Linked DNA regions of Arabidopsis thaliana. The protein of the gene in region 2 interacts with the protein of the main gene of each other region in a pairwise test. Each region holds a gene or a part of one and is shown on either strand. Other genes may lie near its edges.

Region 1 (5,580 bases), about 18 Mb from region 2:
AACCGTTGCTCCATCGGCTGGTGTAAGTATTGTTCTTTTTCAGTTGGCTTAGTGGTTACTTAGATTGAATAATGAGTTTGTGTTCTTGAGCAGGATGTTATCATGTACACAGCTGATGACCGGAATATTCACTCAGTTGATGAGGTAACAGATGGAGAAAGATTGACTCTTGCACTCTGGTTTAGCCGGGACTCATCACATGACGAAGATTCCAAGCTTCTTTCTCGTCTTTCACAATGTACATCACATGAAGTGTGCCTCCCTTTGCCTGCATCCACTAACATGTACTGGTTCTGTCCTCATCAAGATGGTTCTAATCAAAACATAGGTTTTGATGTTTGCGTTGCGAGGTTGCATCTTCTTGGTTTTGATGTACATAGCTTACAAGGCGAAGATCATTCTACGGATGCCTCTGAACAACTTATGGGACCACTACAATTAGCTAAAGGAGGAAAGTTACTCACCCGAAAATTTGCCAACATTCTTCATGCTCTTCAGGTACTTTTCTCTTTGACATTCACATGAGTTTCTTCGAGGTCGTTAGTGATTAGTTGATATAGTAAATGTCTTGTTAAACGGGCTTCCTTTCATCATATATAATCAAATGCTTATTTCTTCTCTTTTGCTGGATAATAGGTTGTTCAGTTCTACCATTGGAAAGCTTCTGAACTCGTAACTTCTAATGTCGAAAATGACACATTAGAAGAGGTGAAAGCTATGTCCCACTCTCAGTTGGAAACTATCAATGCCCTGAAATCAGTTTTCCTGCTAGATGAGAACCTCGTAGCCACAACTTTTGGATATTCGTGCTCTGGTGAGGATCGAAAGGATTCACTCGACTTGACGGGTATAGCTCTCGCGGTTACCTCTTGGGAAGAGTATAGCTGTAAGTTACTCAAGGAGCTATTATCATCCTTGCCTCAATGGAAAACTTATCAAACTATACACAAAGTGGAATCTGATTAGAAATGAATTCTGAGTTACTGTTGAATTGAGTAGTTAACAACTTGAAAGTGATTCTCTTGGCTTCAAAGAACAGCTTCTCAATTATCTCTTTGTTTGATCTTACACATAATCATGTTATAATATCCTTCAAGATTGTTGCAAGTAATTTTGTAAGATACAGAGAATCAAAGTTAATTTTGGGATTGGATACAGAAAGAGATCTCAAACGTTGGGGCCTAAAAGAGAGAGGAGAAAAGTCCTGTAATGACTAGTTGTATCAGAATGAACAGCATTGTACAAAGTCTTCTTGTATCTCTTACGGTATTCTGTGATGATGAACTGCATATCCACCTCTGCTCTCGTCACCACGATTCTTATCAACGCCGTGTCATCTGTTCCTAATCCTTTCATTGATTTCCTCAATGCCTGCGCTTTCAGTTTTCGTTTTGTAAACTCGAAACCCTACATTGTTGTCTAAGAAAGGTTAGGTTACGTTACCTTTGCGAAATAGAAACAAGAGTTTTCAGCACATTGTAAAATTGTTAGAAGGACATGCTCGAAGTTCCCGCGAGTCTCATCTCTTATGGCCTATCAAGATTGGAGAAAGAGAAGATCAAGATTTTGGAAATTTTCTGATTCTTGAGTAACAAGTTTCTGGATCTTGATTATATACCTTTCCAAGTTCTTTGCCGTACATGGAACGGTAAGTAGATCTTACAGCGACCAAATGAGTCCTGCTTCGGTCAGTGAATATCTGAATCAACGTCTGGTCATCAGATTTATGCTTCCTTGCAACCGCGCTCTTGAGAGTCCTAGCATCGTTCTCTACACTCGCATTATCGATCTCTGGTCCTTCATATCGCGTAGTGTTCAAATACGCGAGCAAAACCTGTTACATATTACAATTTCTATTACTATTTGAACCAAAAGCATGGATCAAATAGAGAAAACATACTCTTTTGTGATTGCCAGAAGCTTCGGATTCGATGTCCTCTTCAAGTTTCACACCGAAAGTGTTTGAGTAGACCTGTTTGATCTGACGAAGCTGAGAGCCAGATCGTGTGCATATAATCTCAGCAATCGCTTTATGATCAGTCACGGCTCCTCTTAAGGAGCGTTTCAGTATTGAAGCGTCTCGCTCCACTGCTTCAGGCATCCACAAAAGAACGGCTTTCTGAAATCAAAAACGTTTTCAAAATGTTGTCTGCTAAAATCATGAATAAAAGTTTTTTTGTAAGGCTAAGATTTATTTACCTTGAGATGACCATGAAGCTCAGAGTGGAGACGTTTTCGGAGGTCATCCGAGAATTTGGTTTCGTATTCTTGTTCGATGAGAGCTCGTTGTGTTGCATTGCGATGAGCTAAGATGTTGATGATCACCGAAGTATCGCAGCCTCTTCCTGCAAATTGCGAAAATATAAACTAAAATGTAACAAAACAAGTTGTTATAAACTACATAAGAAGCGAATGCGTACGTACCTTTGAAGGCCTTAAAGAGTTGGTCAGCATCGACTCGAGGAGAAGGTACCGTCATTGGTATTTTCATTGTTGCCATTTTTTCTTTCTTCCTCTAAAGATTCCGAAGAAGATATTGTAAAACTCTATACCTTTCTTCTTTCTTTTTTTTGTTGTATTCTCTTGATTTTGTTTTTTCTTTTGTTTTGTTGGTGTGGTGTGATTTGTGGCGATTGGGTTTTGGGTTGAAATATGCAAAGGAAATGGACATTAGACCTTGATTTTAGGAGTTGAATCCTCTGTTTCATTCGTGTAACGATGGATGCTTTGATGCATAAAATTTAACGGATAACATTTTTTAGGATCCGATAGATATCTCTATGTTTCATGATTATCATCAACATAAAGACTTTTATAAGAGTTGTGTAGAGTCTGTAGCCTAGTAAAAGGGGGTTTTCGACTTAATTTCGAAACAATGGGCCAAAACTACAAATTATAAAAAGATCTCCTAAGGTTTATTACTTTCCCCAAATGGATGTTGTCACTTTCGGAATCATAATCGGAATTATCATTCTCTTCTTCTGCATCGTCTGCTTCATCACTATTGAAGGCACTCGCTTCAACCGTCGCTCTTCTTAGCTCACTCAGAGATGTCGTTCTCGCTGAGAAAGCTACTGGTTCCGATTCTGGTTTTGGTACTGTTTCTGGATCTGTGCGTTGAATCCGGATTCTCTCAGTCAACGCCGGCGCGTGACGATCACGTGCATCATCACGGTGGTGGGTGTAGTCATTCTCATGACCACGACCACGACCACGATCATGATCATCATGTGAAGAAGACGACGGCGAAGGTGGAGATGAAGTTGCCGGAGGAGCTTGCTGAAGAGGAGGATATGAGATTATGTGGGTTTGGGCCTTGTCTTCATGATCACGATCACGAATCAAGTTCCACTCTTACGGGGTTTGGTAAATTTGGTTCCTTTAGCTACATTCTTCATTGGGTTTTACAAATCATTACTTGATGATTAGAATCTCTTCTTCTTGTTGGTTTTTGTAGCTCTGTGGCTTAATGCATTGGGATGCTCTCTTTTAGTTAGCTTGGCCTCACTCATCTGCCTTGTTTTGCTTCCCATTATGTTTGGTAAGCAATTTTTTGTATACCTATGAAAACCAAAAAGCATTGCTTTTAATTGTCCTGGAGAAAATGCTCTCTTTCGTTTATTCATGTGCTATAATGTGTTCATGAGAGTAACTGTTTCAAGTCTTATGTTGCAACTAACAGTTCAAGGGAAGCCATCAAAATGGTTCGTTGATTCTTTGGCTCTCTTTGGGGTAAGTCATTAGACTGACTACAGTAGCTTTTTCTTTGGCGGTGGTGGTTCTGAATGCAAGAAAAATATTTTAGCAATATCTATACACTGTGTTTCGTCGCAACTTTATCACTTGGATGAGTTGGAAATGTTAATAATATATGATCTGTTGATTCAGTTAATTTGTTTACCAGGCAGGAGCTATGTTGGGAGATGCTTTTCTTCACCAACTGCCCCATGCTTTTGGTACAGTAATGGACACAAGTTTCTGATCTCTTTTTTAGTATCTGCATTGTTTCATAATTTGGCTTTTATGCCTTCTCATTTTGTTTGCTTTTATATCTTCCTGAAGTGCAAAATATATTTATGGTTTGGCAGGTGGTGGCCACTCTCACTCTAATGATCACCATGAGAACCATGACCATCATGATCATTCTCATTCGGATTCGCCTTCACACTCACATTCTATACAAGATTTGTCTGTTGGATTGTCTGTTCTTGGTAAGTATCATAACACTTCCTCTTGTGTTTATTGAACAAAATATTTTGACAGAATTGACACTTTCAATCATCATTCTTAATTATCCAGCTGGGATTGTGGTCTTCCTTCTTGTGGAGAAGTTGGTGCGGTATGTCGAAGAAAACTCATCTGGGTCCAATACTTGGGGTCATCATCACCACCACCACCATGCAGGCAGTAAGAAACTGAAGGATGAAGGCGATCATAACAACTTGGACCAACAATCTTCTTCTGATGCAATTGTAAATTCATCAGAGAAAGTCTCTGGCGGCTCTACAGATAAATCTCTCCGTAAGGTGAGAACACACTTCTATGTAAATATTTCTACCTGCAGCAGATGAGTTTTGAGTTGAACTCAAGAAGCAAGCAGAGTACAAAAACAAGGAACACATTAGTTTTGGTAGAATTTCTGTTTATCAGTCTCTTGCGTGAATGAGAGGTTTAGCATACTTAAATGTGGTACCTTTTCAGCTACGAGCTTCTATTTCTTCTGTTATATGCAAACATCTATTCTTTGAGCTTCTACTTGAAGCCCGAGTAGGATTCATCTTGTTATGGTTTCTGAGTAAACTTATCTATTTGCAGAGAAAGACTTCTGCTAGTGACGCTACTGATAAATCAGATTCAGGAACAGAAATTACTTCCGATGGAAAATCGGACAAACCAGAACAGGTGGAGACGCGTTCTTCGAGCCTAGTCTTTGGTTACCTCAACTTGTTCTCTGATGGTGTTGTAAGTACGTGTTCCCTTTTGAAATATTAAAGAGATAGCTTCGATCGGGATGATGAAAGATTGCCAAGAGATGATTCGTCTGAGAAAATGAAGATTTTTTTTTGCTCTTTTTGTTGTGCAGCACAATTTCACTGATGGAATGGCATTAGGAAGTGCGTTTCTCATCTATGGATCAGTTGGTGGTTGGTCAAGAACTATGTTTTTACTTGCCCACGAGCTTCCCCAAGAGGTCTCTACTCTATTTCCTAAACAAACCTAAAAATGTGCATAGCAACAAGTATCACCCCTTAAACAACTCCACGGAAACTTACATGCAGATAGGTGATTTTGGGATTCTAGTAAGATCAGGCTTCACAGTAACAAAAGCACTCTTCTTCAACTTCCTCTCTGCACTCGTCGCACTTGCCGGAACTGCATTGGTAAGTCTTTTCTATATTAAAGCCTAGCAGTTCTCTAAAATATTGAAAACTGAACGGTGATGTTTTCTATCTGCCACAGGTTTTGGTCTGGGGAAATGAACCAGGACAATCATCGTTGATTGAGGTAGTAAACAACATATTTGCACTGCTTGCCTTAGATCTAGTTTGACTCATCTTATTGATTTGAATATATGTGGTG
Region 2 (6,521 bases):
ATCTCATTTGCTCCGTTAACCATAGCTACTACAATCGGCGGTACAAGAGAAAGGTACGAAGAACGATGAGTCTCCACCGCCGAGAGAAGCTTAGCCATGTCGAATTTAGGAAGAACAACGATTGTCCATCCTAACGCGATTAGCCCCGTCGCGAAACCACCGAATCCGAAGATGTGACACATTGGGATTGTGCAAATGGTTCGCTGCTCTAAACCGAACCGGGCCCGGTATGCTTGTACCAATGCGATTAGGTTACGGTGACTCAGCATTACTCCTTTACTCGTCCCCGTCGTACCTGATGAGTATAACAGAGCCGCCGTGTCGTCCTGGTTGACTCGTTGCTTAACTCGTGACTCACTCGGTTCTGTTTCAATCATCGTCTCTAACCTCCCGACTAGTTTCACGCGGTCACCGTAACTTTGCGAAGGAACGTGGTAGTCGTCCATGAGAACCACCGGGAGATTAAAATTCGACGCGGCGGCGAGTTTGGAGACGAGTTTGCATGTGGTGAAGGCGAGAACAGGACGCGAATCGCCTATCTGTTTGGAGATTTCGTCGGACGTGTTGATCGGATTAGCGGTGGTTATGATTGCGCCGAGTGACATTACGGAGAGGGAGACGATCGGGAAGAGGATTGAGTTTGGAGAGAGTATAATGACGACATTTCCTTTGCGTACACCTAATGCGTAAAGACAACCCGCGACTCTTTCGACACCGAGCCAGAGCTCAGGGAAGCTTAGTCGACGACCGGTTACGGCGTCGACGAATACGGTTTTGCCGCGATGAGGCTGTGATGCAATGAAAGACGTGACGTCGAGAAATTGGTTTGGCGGGAGAGCCATTGGCTCACGTTTGCTGTAGAATATCGATGTTGATTCGCAGAAACCGCTTTTTCGATCTACCGCCAGAGTTCTCGATTCGATTTCGCTGCCGTCGCCGTCGACGCCGTGCTTAACCGCCATGTTAAAGGACTTTGGTTGTATCGAAAGCCTCTCGGTGATTGGTCGTTAGAGATTGGTAATTACGTCGTTTCTGATTTAAGTTTTATGACGTGGACTATATTATAAAAAAGCCCACTATACTTTGAGTCTTTGATCCATTACGCCTTTGGGCCTAATGCAAACTAATTATATCTGTCCTTGGAAATTATTCAACACTATACATATGTATACAGAAAAATATATACAATGATTACAGATTTACAGTTTTCTCTCTTATTGAAAAACAATACCATCAATAAAATTAAGAAAGTCTAGCAAATTTATCCTTTCAAAGTTTGGAAGTTGATAGTTTGATTAGATCTTTGCGAAGTGTTTTGCCGGATGCAGTCTTTGGTATGGAACTTATGAATGCAACCTTTCTTATTTTCTTATACGGTGCCACCTGCTCATCAAATTATTTACCACCCAAAAATAGTTTAACTTTTAAGTAAAACAATATATGATAAAGAAGATGTTGTACGTTTTGTGATTATAGAAGTACCTGATTAGAGATGAAGTCAATAACTTCTTTTTCGGAGAGATTGCTCTCGGGCTTTCGGGCTACATAAGCCATCGGATATTGTCCGGCTTCTCTATCCGGAAACCTGTACAATGCACAAAAGAAACAAACTACATGTTTTTCGATATTTGAATGGCAAAAATCATGGTGTTTTAGTTGTTAAATATTTTACGGAATAACAGCAGCATCAAGAATGTGTGGATGAGCGATCAAAAGAGCCTCTAGTTCAGCTGGAGGCACCTGCTTATCATATATTAACCATTAGATTTTCATTTTTAAGAAAATTTACACTATTAGTAAACATAACGATGATGAACCTGATAGCCTTTGTATTTGATCAATTCTTTCAGTCGATCCACAACAAATAGAAACCCATCTTCATCGATATAGCAGAGATCTCCAGTTTTAGCCATCCTTCTAGATTAATAGTTTCATTTGTAGCTTCTTCATTTCCGAAATAACCTTTAAAGCATATAAATGTTAGTTTAATTCAAAACTATGTCTTTGCCATGCAAAAAATTGTTTTCGTTTTGTCCCAAGACAGATTTAAGAGTGTTTCTTTTGTTATTCAATAGTATTGAGTTCACTTAAATAAGTTTCATTTAATTTGCAAATGAACTGAAGCCATTCTTCGGTTAGGGTGTCCACGTTACGAATACTAATCATATCGATGTATACAAAACTCAATTACTCACACCAAATCCAAAACCCATTTTACTGCTTAAAAACTTGATCATAATATTTGTTTTATAAATAATTTCCCAATAATAAAATGTCTATTTCAAATAATCTAATTATTGCCAAATATTTAGCGTTTATTAGTGTTTGTTTACCTTTAGAAATAGAAGGACCCTTGAGCCAGAGCTCACCGGGTTGGTTCACACCCATGACCCGACCCGTATCCGGATCCACAATCCTCGCTTCAATACCGGACGACAACAACCCAACCGCACCGTATTTCAGACTCTCCTCCACAGATTCCGTCGAAGCTCCTGAACCGTGCGACTCAGTCAACGCATATCCTTGAAAAATATTAACCGTTGGATATTTCTCTAGGAAGCTATCCATAACCTCCTTGCTCAACGGTGCTCCACCACACCTAACCTTTCTCAGGGAGGTCAAATCGTACTTGGCCTTGAGCTGATCTGCACCGTTAATCATAGCTACCAAAACCGGTGGAGCCAAACTCAGAATCGTGGCTTTGTACTTCTCCACCGCTTGCATCATATCGTCGAGCCCGAATCTCCGGAGAATCACCACCGTTGAACCCGATGCTACGGAGCCCATTGCGAACGCCAATAACCCGAAGGAGTGGAACATCGGCACGGTACATACGAATATCTCGTCTCGTTTCCATTTATCGTCGATGTATTTCGCAACGTAAGCTGTTAAATTCCGGTGAGACGAGATCACTCCTTTGCTCGTCCCTGTGGTTCCCGACGAGTAAAGCATCATCGCCGTGTCGTCCTGGTTGACTCGGTCTCTGACTCGTTGACCACTCGTTTCTTTCTTCATCATCTCGCTCAAAATCCCAACGACTCTGACTCCACTAGTGAGCTCCACTCGCTTCTCGTCTTCTTCGTCGGTGAGGACGACGGAGATTGCGGCTGCGAGTTTGGGTGCCAGCTGGCTCGTGGTGAAGACGAGAGTTGGATTACTTTGGGCGATCTGTTTGGAGATTTCGCCGGAGGTGTTGAGAGTGTTGGCGGTGGTGACGACGGCGCCGAGAGACATGACGGAGAGGCAAACGACGGGAATGTAGATTGAATTTGGAGAGAGGATGAGGACGACGTCGCCTCTTCGTATTCCGACTTCATGATATAGACAGTCAGCGACGCGATCAACGACTCTCCAGAGATCGGAGAAGGTTAAGCGGTGGCCCGTGGAGGCGTCGATGAAGGCGGTGGTGCCGCGTTGCGGTTGAGATGATATGAAAGTTGTGACGTCAAGCGACGGATTTGGCGGGAGACATAATGGGTTTCGCTTGCTATAGAATGTAGAGTTTGATTTGCAGAAACCGCTTCTAGGATCAACAATGAGATCTCTCTCAGGATACGCCATATTTCTTAATATGAAGCTCTTCTCTAAGTACAACTTCTCTAAACGATTAGTCTGTAATATGAATATGAAATATTAATATACCATACTATCTACAACATGTGTCGGATTATTAAATGATGTAGATAATATGATAGTTGATGTGGCCGACACAAAACAATAAGAATTGTGATGAGAAACACAAAATAATAATACAAAACATAAAGAACTTTTCATTGTAAGAATATTTTATCACAAGTTTGGTGAAGTCACGTGGTTCTCGTTCCTGAGAACTACCGGGAGATTCGATTTGACCGTCGCCGCCGTGCCTAACCCCTATGTTTTGTTTTGTTGGCTTCTATGTTCAGTTTGATGACGTGAGATTTTTTATTTGGGTAACCAGTGACCCATAACCAGGATTAGGTAACCTCAAAGCCCACTTCACTTGCCATATTGTCCTTGGGTCTAGCCACACACCAAATTTATCTTCTTGTTGCTCAAATCCAAACCAATTCCGATCGTCCATCCCTCTTTCTTTCTTTTTCTTCGGTTAAAAACTTAAAATGTTGAATTTCGGATTATTGATCTTGTAATAAGTCATAACACACACATTTGTTATATTATCTTTCTATTCACTTTTGGATATTATAATTTTGATAAGATATAAACTCGTGTTATCAGCAAATTGTCTACTACATATTTGATACTAGTGTCTTTAATTAAAATTATTCAGCATTATAGATATATTACAAATCTCTCTTTATTGAAATAAAAACGAGATTATTGAAAGAGAACATACATCCCAGTTATTTCAACTACAAGTAAAAGTGAGAATCTAGCAAATAAGATCCTTTCAAAGTTTAGAAGTAGCCAATTTGATTAGATCCTTGCGAAGCGTCTTACCGGATGCAGTTTTTGGTATGGAGTTTATAAATGAGACCTTTCTTATCTTCTTATATGGTGCTACCTGCTCAAAATTTTAGTAATCTTTTGAAACCAACTATCATAAAACTAATTTACCACCTAAAAACATTATAACAAGGTAAAGAAGAGAAGGTGTTGTTTTGTGATTTTAAAAGCACACCTGCTTAGAGATGAAGTCAATGACTTGTTTCTCAGAGAGATTGCTCTCGTGTTTTCGAACCACGTAAGCCATTGGATATTGTCCTGCTTCTTTGTCCGGAAAACTTTGCAGTACGTACACAAAAGCATACATACATGAACATGTTGTGTTTTACGTTTATAAGGCAAAAATCATGGCGTTTAAATTGGAGGAAAAAAAAAAGTTATGAAATATTTTACGGAATAACGGCGGCATCGAGAATGTCCGGATGAGTAATCAGAAGAGCTTCTAGTTCAGCTGGAGGCACCTGTTTATCAATTACTTATCGTTAGATCTTTATAATTTTAAAATTTCACTGTTTGTGAAAGAATGAAGATAGATGTTTATGAACCTGATAGCCTTTGTATTTTATCAGTTCTTTCAATCGATCCACAACAAAAAGAAACCCATCTTCATCGATGTAGCAAAGATCTCCAGTTTTTAGCCATCCCTCTAAATTAATGGTTTCATTTGTAGCTTCTTGGTTTTTAAAATAACCTTCATTTTACGTTTGTCAATTAATAAAGCTTACGTAACAAGGTATATACACAAACAAATCGGGATCTTTCACGTCGTCATTTTCCATTATATGGAGCTACCTAACTTTTTGAACTCGTACAAAAATGAAAATTCACTTATTCACACTAGTCCAAAAACCATATGCAAAATCCATCACTAGAAAAAACTTGGAAATCAAATACGAGTTCTTGCTATATTTGTTTCACAAAAAGTTATAAACTTGATCTCAATAACAATTTAATTTATCTTTATCTTATACATTGATTTGAAATGGTTAAGTTTTTGCCTTTGACCAAAAAAATGATCAAGTTATTACTTCTATCGCAAGCAAAGCAAAAACTATCTAGTGATTTTACCTTTAGAAATAGAAGGGCCCTTGAGCCAGAGCTCTCCCGTTTGGTTAATTCCCATGAACCGACCCGTATTCGGATCCACGATCCTCGCCTCCACATCAGACGTCAACGTCCCCGCCGTGCCATATCTCCGGCTCTCCTCCGCTGAATTCGTGAAAGCCCCTCCGCCGTTGGATTCCGTCAAAGCATACCCCTGCAGTATATCAACCGTCGGATATTTCTCTAGAAACCCTTCCGTCACCTCCTTGCTCAACGGCGCTCCACCACACCTCACCGTTTTCAGTGAGCTCAGATCGTACTTAGCCTTGATCAGATCTGCGTCGTTAATCATAGCTACCAAAACAGGTGGCGCCAAAGCCAGAGCTGTGGCTCGGTGCTTCTCCACCGCATCCATCATATCGTGGAGCTGAAATCTCCGGAGGATCACCACCGTTGAACCCAATGCTACGGTGCCCATAGCGAAGGTCAATAAACCGTAGGTGTGGAACATCGGGACGGTACAGATGAAAATATCGTCTCGTTTCAAATTATCCGATATGAATCTAGCCACGTGAGCTGTTAAATTCCGGTGAGACGAGATCACTCCTTTGCTCGGTCCCGTGGTTCCCGACGAGTAAAGCATCATCGCCGTGTCGTCCTGGTTGACTCGGTCCCTGACTCGTTGCCCACTCGGTTCTTTCTTCACCATCTCGCTTAAAATCCCAACGACTCTGATTGCGCTAGTGAGCTCCTGGTAAACTTCGTCGTCGGTGAGAACGACGGAGATAGCGACGGGGAGTTTTGGTGCCAGCTGGCGCGTAGTGAAGACGAGAGTTGGATTACTGTCGGCAATCTGTTTGGAGATTTCACCGGAAGTATTGAGAGTGTTGGCGGTGGTGAAAACGGCGCCGAGAGACATGACGGAGAGGCAAACAACGGGAATGAAGATGGAGTTTGGAGAAAGGATGAGGACGACGTCGCCTCTTCGTATTCCGACTTCATGATATAGACAGTCGGCGACGCGATCGACG
Region 3 (7,643 bases), about 16 Mb from region 2:
CGGAGATTTCAAGATGGAGACATGTGTGTTTCGTTTTCTCCGATTCAACCATTGTTTCGATCTCGATCAAAGTCGCCGATATTCGGTTCGTGTTTCCAAAAATATTGAAAGATCGGAATATTCGATTTGCGACGAAACACAAGGTCTCAATGGGCCGTGATTTAAGTTAAAAGCCCATCAGGCCCAGTAAAAGCTTATCTTCCCATAGCGCGCTTAACGATTTTGATTTTGAATTTGAAAAGAAGAGGAAGCAAGAGGAAATGGAGGATTCAGGTGCGATTCTATGTCAAATCTCCATTTTCAAGGACATGCTTGATCAGGTTTCACTATTCTTCATCTTCTTCACTGGATTGGTATCTCTCGTCTTTAGCTTAATCTGAGCTGTGATCGAATGAAACAGGTCAATCGGGAAATCGAAGCAAACATTCAGGTCACGCGAGAGATCGAATCACAGATCGGAAATTGTTCTGAGACGGAATCGGCTCTGTCTGTCAAAGAAGCTGAGCTTACTAAATCGTTCCTTGCTTCTCAGTTCGAGATCAATGGTTTGATCTCCGTTACAGGTTTCTGAATTTGAGTCGCTTCTAATTTCTGAATTTGTTTTTTGTTTCTGTGTTGTTAAATCTCTATCACTATGTTTTATTTTCTTAAAGCTGATTCAAGAAACTCTCTGAAGCTATTGGAGGATGAGATTTGTCGTTTGAGAAATGAGCATAGTGAGCTAATTACAAGACTAACCGAGAAGCGGTAAACATCGATTGTGTTGTAAACAAGCATTTGTGTTCTTGATCCTCTGATTGATAAAGCATTGCTTATGGAATTTTTTTACACAGGGAAGGTTTTGTGAAGATGTGTTTTGGGTTTCAAAGGGAGATTGAAGACAGTGAATTCAGGAATTTATTGTTGGAAAGAGAGTTTCTCGACAACGAAGTTCGGATGTTGGAGGAGAAGAACTTAGATGTGAAGAACTCTATTTTGGCTTACATGGAAGATGAAATGATGAATCTATTATCTGATTAGTGTTTCTGGTCACATTATCTTCAACACCATGGATCATTGGTGCACCAGAATGGAGGTTCATGTATACAAAAAATATGTTACAAAAAGAATAAAAGGTGAAGTTTGTTATCAACGCCCTAAGATCAAACATCATTTCTTAACGCCCTAAGATCACAGACTTTGTCATCTCATTCACAGTGATCAAATCCTCAGACGATGATTTGTCATCTCTCCTGTGCACTACAAATGTCGGTTGTTCTGGTGGTGGAAGATCTGATGTTGTGGTGAGCATAGACAGCAACTCAAGTGTGTTGGGTCTATCTGCAGGTTGGTGTTGAACACAGAGCAGACCGATCTGAACACATCTCTCAACTTCCAGTGGGCGACATGAATCGGCGACATCTTTGTCCAAGAGATCAATTCCTCCAGTATCACACCAAGATTCCCACGCCTGTTGTTCAGATTCAGGTCTTAAGAATATAAAAGCAAGAAACGTTTTGAGACATTTGCAACTGTATGAATACCTAAAAGTTGTACTTACATATGCAATAAGGGTTTTTTCTTCTTTGCCATAGCTGAATCTTGAGATCTTCTCCCCGCTTATGATTTCTAACATTAGAACTCCAAAGCTATAGATGTCGGACTTTTCAGAAAACATCCCAGTCCATGCATACTCAGGAGCCATATATCCTCTGTGCGAACATCGAATAGTTTCACCCAATGTTTAATAAACGATTATGAGTTTATGACTATGAATCTTGTTAACAATGTTATGGAAAATAGAGTCTTACAGAGTTCCTACAACCCTGCGAGTATTGTCCTGATATTCGGTTCCCTGATACATCCGAGCCAATCCAAAATCTGATATCTTTGGATTCATCTTCTCGTCAAGAAGAATATTGCTAACCTTCAGATCTCGGTGAATAACCTTGAGGTGTGAGTCACGATGGAGATAGTGAATTCCACGCGCAATACCTTGAATGATATCCAATCTCTTTGGCCAGTCAATCTCAAGCCTTTTTCTTGAATCTAAGCGACAATATAGAGTATGAACAATCAGATAAGACAGTTCCATGTAGAGAAAAAGTTGCTGATAGTAAAGGAATGAAGCAAGAAGGAACCCACCGAAGAGAAAGGTATCAAGGCTATTGTTCAACATGAACTCATAAATCAATAGCTTCTCTTCTCCTTCAATGCAACATCCCAAAATCCGAACTAAGTTTTTATGTTGTAGTTTTGAGATGAGTACTATTTCATTCATGAACTCCTCTTTGCCCTGGCCCGAGCTGCTAGAAAGCCGTTTTACAGCAATTTCTTTCCCATCTTGCAGCTTACCCTGAAACACATTGCATAAGGTCATCTGGAGAGCATAAGCAAAGAATAGAAAAGAGCAAAGAGGTTAAAAATTCTCTAACCTTATAAACAGGGCCAAATCCACCTTGTCCGAGTTTGTTTGATATACTGAAATTATTGGTGGCAGTTTGAATGGTATGCATATCAAAGAAATCTAAACCTGGGACATCTTGTGGTTTCAGATCATTCCTCCATGAAACTTGTGAAGCATCCGTTGTTATATCAGCTGAAACTAGTGTTTCAATTATAGATAATATAGGTCATCAGTGTCTTACCAATAGCAAGAAAATGAGTACTGTAAATAAAGAAAAGAAATCAATAGAGAGGGAGTAAGATCATCAGTTTTTACCATTATGTTTCACTCTATATCTCCAGAAACAAAACGCAACAAACGCAATTATCACAACAAGAGAAAGGCTCACAATACTAGCAGTAATGGCCTTCTTGCGCTTATTTCCACCTGTGACATATAAGACAAAAACAAATTAAACAATAAGCCATGCTGCTTCCGGTAAGAAGAGTATCAATGGAGTTGTAGATAAAGTTGTAAACGAAGTAATTCTTCCGTGTAATCATTTGAGCGCCATACCTAGTTCAGAACGTGCCAGACGAATGGAGAGAAGTTCTCCTCCTTCAGAAAATTGCACTGCGTCCATTAGGTCTTGGTTCCACATTAAGCACCCAATTCCATCGATATAAGCAAAGGCCAAGCAAGAACAATTGTGGAGGCAACTTTTCTGGCATTCTTCAACATTCACAAAACTTGCAAATTCGTAAAAGTCTGGAGGCTTTATCCTGGCAACAGGATGGAACACGTTTGCATATTTGCCAGTAGAGTTTCCTTGACAATATAGTTCGGTACGCCTCACACAACCACCAGTCCAGTTTCCTCTTTTCCACTCCTCAATGAGTTTAGGAACAAACCCTTTGAAACACGTACATTTTGGAGGAACAGACTTCACACATAACCCAAAAGGTCCACATACACCGTAGTAATCACATGAGTGTTCTGGAGCCACAAAGTTCAATACCCAGTCCGTCCCATTATGCCAAGACAACTCCTGTGTGCCCTTTGATGTTAGCATTGTACGTTGAAGTCTATCGTTTCTGTTTAAATAAGTGAGAGATCCTGACCCATTTGTATCCTGCTGAACGCTGACTGGACCTGTAAATGTGTCATCCATTAGCGGTATCCCCGTGAACCTTGTTTTAGCCCATGGACCGCTTCTATAATAAGGCGTTGATCCTTTCGTAACAAGCACCTGCGTTGGCACTTGTGGCGTAATCTGAAGCACAAAGTCGCCAACCGATGGATCAGTGTAACTTTTCCAAGAACTCAACACCTGCTTCTCGCCAGTGGCGAGGTTATACTTCAGGGTTGAGGAAGGAAGCATAGTATCACCAAGATGGTCAAAGCTTTGCCATAGAGTTCTTCCCGAAAAATTGTCTATGACAATAAGATTTCCGGTGTCTGAAAGCTCTGCACGAGACCCGTTAGAAACAAGAGCTTCTCCACTGGACCATGCAACGCCATGTTTGCCATTAAATAACAGAAGACTTCCATTGTTGCTGATAGCGAGATTTGCCGTGGAATCTGTAACAGGCTTTTCTCTATTGGCCACCCACACAACCACCCGGGGAATAATACCCTTGAACCAGATTCCGACATACTGATTCTGGGAGTTATTAAAATTGAAGAACCCCAGTTCATAAAAACCATTAGAGGAGCTGAGAGTTTGTCCTATTGGCAAAGGACTTTCTTTCGTTATCCCTGCAGAGCTAGAACTTATAAAGAAGCTAGATAAGAGCAAATAAGCAAAGAACACGATCCACTTCTTCCCCATATTTGTTATTTCTCTCCAAAAACTATCTTTTTTAGATTAGCTTTACATAAAGCGAGAAAGCAAGAAAAAAAAAAAAAAAAACTCTCTTTGCACATTTTTTGTTTTGTCAACTCAGGGACTGACTTGTGAGAATAATACAGAACAAAAATCATGCGTTATTTAATAATCTTTACTAATGTTCCAAAAATCATGCGTTATTTGATAATAGAGAACAAAAGTGTCAAAGCACGAATAAGTCCTTACCCAATCAGATACGCAACGTTGTCATTGTTCAATGCTATCAAGAACAAAAAGAAGAAGACTTTGGTTATCAAAGACTTTAGAATAAGTTACTGCAAATTTTCTTCTATTCCATTCAAAGACAATCATTTACTTAAATACACAAAAAAGGTGTTCAGAAAGTAACTGCTCACTAAACAAATAACAACGTGAATGAGTGGGAGACAATTCCAAGTCCTTATTAGCTCTGCATCAATAATAGAAACAATGCATACATGATAGATTGGCACGAAGAAGTCCTTACCCAATCAGATACGCAACGTTGTCATTGTTCAAGTCCTTATTAGTTCTGCATCAATCGAAAGAATCCAATCCTTGCTTCACCATTACAACACAATAACTTTCTTGAAATGCAGGCTATGTTTTATCTCGTTTAGACATTTCCTCGAACACTTGCAGTGCATAAAAAAAACCTCCGAGCCTCGCTAATGTCGTTAGACCCGTAATGACCCTAATCGACTGATTCCCAACTCCAACCATATGGGCTTAACTGTTTCTGTCCAAAAGAACCGAAGAATTCAACAGTCAACATTGGTGTGCCACTAGGCCCGAGAATAATCTCCCGGGAAGTCTTAAAATGAAGTAGAGTCAACGATTTGTTTTTGAGCAAAGTATTTTGTCAATTTAGTGGGAAGTGGAATCATGTAATCATGCCTAATAAAATATACCTTAGTCAATTTTACCAAACAGTTTCCACATAGATAAAAAGTTTCTGAATAATAAAGGAAGGGATGTAATTTTACAACCATTAGAAATTTTGATCCTTATAGAGAATAATTCCAATTCTACAGTTTCAACGTCCTTGGATCACAGACTCTGTCATCTCATTGACAGTGATCATCGAATCATTTGACGGTGATTCGTCTTTTCTAGTGTGCACTACAAATGTGGGTTTTTTGGGCAGAGGAAGATCTGATGTTGTGGTAAGCATAGACAGCAACTCAAGTGTGTTTGGTCTGTCTGCAGGCTCGTGTTGAACACAGAGCAAACCAATCTGTACACACCTTCCAACTTCAGATGGGTGACTAGAATCAGCAAGAGCTTGGTCCAAAAAATTAACTTCTCGGGTTTCACACCAACATTCCCATGCCTGTTTTTCAGTTTCCACTCTTAAGAATATCAAAGCAACAAACCTTTTGCAACCTCTGCAAATGCATGAAAACATAAAGTCTTACTAACATATGCAAGAAGTGCTTTTCCCTCCTCGCCATAGCTGAAACTTGAGATCTTCTTTCCGCTGATGATTTCTAACAACAGAACTCCGAAACTGTAGATATCGGATTTCTCAGAGAATACGCCAGTCCATGCATACTCAGGAGACATATATCCTCTGTTCAAAGATCAAATAGTTTCACCCAATTTAATATATGACTACCAATCTAGTTTAATATGTTATCAAGGGATGGTTCTTACAGAGTTCCGACAACCCTGCGAGTTTTTTCCTGATATTGGGTTCCCTGAAACATCCGAGCCAAACCAAAATCTGATATTTTCGGGTTCATTTTCTCATCCAGAAGAATGTTGCTGACCTTCAGGTCTCGGTGAATTACTCTGAGGCGTGAGTCACGGTGGAGATAGAGAAGTCCACGTGCAATACCTTCAATGATCTCAAATCTCTTTGGCCAATCAAGTTCGAGCTTTTTTCTTGCATCTAAGTATACAAGCTATCAGATAAGAAATTCCAGATATAAAGGGGAAAACTACACGAAAGGGGTAAGAAGTGACCCACCAAAGACAAAAGTATCCAGGCTTTTGTTTTTCAAGAACCCATAAATCAATAGCTTCTCTGTTCCTTCGACGCAGCATCCCAAAACCCGGACTAAGTTTCTGTGTTGGAGTTTTGATATCAGTACTATTTCATTCATGAACTCCTGTTTGCCCTGCCCAGAGCTGCTAGAAAGACGTTTTACCGCAATTTCTCTTCCATCTTGCAGTTTTCCCTGAAACAAGTTGCAAATGTCATGTCAAGAAATGACAGAAAAGAAAAAGAGCAAAGAGGATAAAACGTTTCTCGCCTTGTAAACAGAACCAAATCCACCAGGACCGAGTTTGTTTGATAGACTGAAATTATTGGTGGCAGTTTGTATGGCATTCATCTCAAAAAATTCTAAACCTGGGACGTCTTGTGATTGCAGAAAATTCCTCCATGCATCGTTTGATATATGAGCTAAAATATGGGTTAGAATATGTGTGTCAGTGCCAAGTGAGTATATTCAGAGTTTTTAAAACAGGCCGAAACCAATGTACCAGAAAAATAATATACAAGTCAGTCAATTTAGTAGTGGAAAAAACACCTTTTTATTTAACGATATCTTATAACAAATGTAACAGAGCAATTTTATTGACAACCAAATGATTAGATGAACAGTGAGAGATTGTTCGATAGTAAAGTCATCAATGTGTTACCATTATGTTCCACTCTGCATCTCCAGAAACCAAATGCAGCAAATCCAAAGATCACGAATAGGGTCAGGCTCACTGTACTAGCAACAATGGTCATCTTGCGCTTATTTACATCTGAGGAATTTAGGATAAGAATTGAACAATAAGTCATGCTTCTATCGAAAACATCAATATCAAAGAAGTGGAAGATATAATTACAAAAGATACAAAAGGTCCTTGAATTATATTGTAAGTCATACCTAGCTCAGAACGTGCAAGACGAATGGAAAGAAGTTCTCCTGCTGCAGAAAATTGCCTTGTGTCCATTAGATCCTTGCTCCACATTAAGCACCCTATTCCAGGAATATAAGAAAACGCCAAGCAAGAACAATTGTGGAGGCAATTTTGGTGGCATTCTTCAGCATTCTGAGAATTTGCATACTCGTAAAAGTCTGGAGGCTTTATGTTGGGAACAGTATAGAAGACATTTGCATCTTTGCCACTGGAGTTTCCTTGACAATGTAGTTCGGTACGCCTCACACAACCACTAGTCCAGTTTCCTTTCTTCCACTCCTTAGCGAATTTAGGAACAAAACCTTTGAAGCATTTACATTTTGGAGGAATTGATACAACACAAAGCCCAAAAGGTCCACATACGCCATATATATCACATGAATTGGCTGGACCCTCGTAGGTTGATTCCCAGTCCATTCCATTATGCACTAAGACCTTCATTGTTCCCTCTGATGTTAAAATCATGCGTGAAGGTTTGCCTCTTTCAACAAA

Evidence for each region.
Region 1: the proteins of AT1G20490 (region 2) and ANN5 interact in a protein complementation assay, tested with the Arabidopsis thaliana proteins (one large-scale study listed by BioGRID).
Region 3: the proteins of AT1G20490 (region 2) and AT1G61420 interact in a protein complementation assay, tested with the Arabidopsis thaliana proteins (one large-scale study listed by BioGRID).

The regions. Positions count from the first base shown.
Region 1 is NC_003070.9:25,518,275-25,523,854, forward strand, and holds ANN5 (annexin 5), read right to left. Parts: upstream 2,622-5,580; 5' UTR 2,501-2,621; coding exon 2,425-2,500; intron 2,346-2,424; coding exon 2,200-2,345; intron 2,120-2,199; coding exon 1,901-2,119; intron 1,835-1,900; coding exon 1,619-1,834; intron 1,534-1,618; coding exon 1,444-1,533; coding exon of another isoform or gene 1,435-1,443; exon of another isoform or gene 1,372-1,434; coding exon 1,168-1,371; 3' UTR 1,031-1,167; downstream 1-1,030. Other genes in the region: AT1G68080 (2-oxoglutarate (2OG) and Fe(II)-dependent oxygenase superfamily protein), read left to right, coding at 1-22, 94-498, 637-966; IAR1 (ZIP metal ion transporter family), read left to right, coding at 3,051-3,366, 3,458-3,541, 3,683-3,732, 3,905-3,956, 4,089-4,211, 4,300-4,526, 4,816-4,962, 5,084-5,191 and 2 more.
Region 2 is NC_003070.9:7,096,112-7,102,632, forward strand, and holds AT1G20490 (AMP-dependent synthetase and ligase family protein), read right to left. Parts: upstream 3,782-6,521; 5' UTR 3,562-3,781; coding exon 2,334-3,561; intron 1,963-2,333; coding exon 1,847-1,962; 3' UTR 1,818-1,846; exon of another isoform or gene 1,741-1,817; 3' UTR 1,483-1,740; intron 1,384-1,482; 3' UTR 1,100-1,383; downstream 1-1,099. Other genes in the region: AT1G20480 (AMP-dependent synthetase and ligase family protein), read right to left, coding at 1-962; AT1G20500 (AMP-dependent synthetase and ligase family protein), read right to left, coding at 4,391-4,504, 4,622-4,724, 4,840-4,907, 4,992-5,137, 5,515-6,521. UniProt on the Arabidopsis thaliana protein: Carboxylate--CoA ligase that may use 4-coumarate as substrate.
Region 3 is NC_003070.9:22,659,401-22,667,043, forward strand, and holds AT1G61420 (S-locus lectin protein kinase family protein), read right to left. Parts: upstream 4,775-7,643; 5' UTR 4,197-4,774; coding exon 2,942-4,196; intron 2,813-2,941; coding exon 2,702-2,812; intron 2,585-2,701; coding exon 2,415-2,584; intron 2,336-2,414; coding exon 2,125-2,335; intron 2,029-2,124; coding exon 1,791-2,028; intron 1,692-1,790; coding exon 1,541-1,691; exon of another isoform or gene 1,451-1,540; coding exon 1,157-1,450; downstream 1-1,156. Other genes in the region: AT1G61415 (CAP-gly domain linker), read left to right, coding at 261-320, 401-563, 654-747, 834-1,020; AT1G61430 (S-locus lectin protein kinase family protein), read right to left, coding at 5,269-5,565, 5,655-5,805, 5,889-6,126, 6,205-6,415, 6,482-6,642, 6,882-6,992, 7,118-7,643.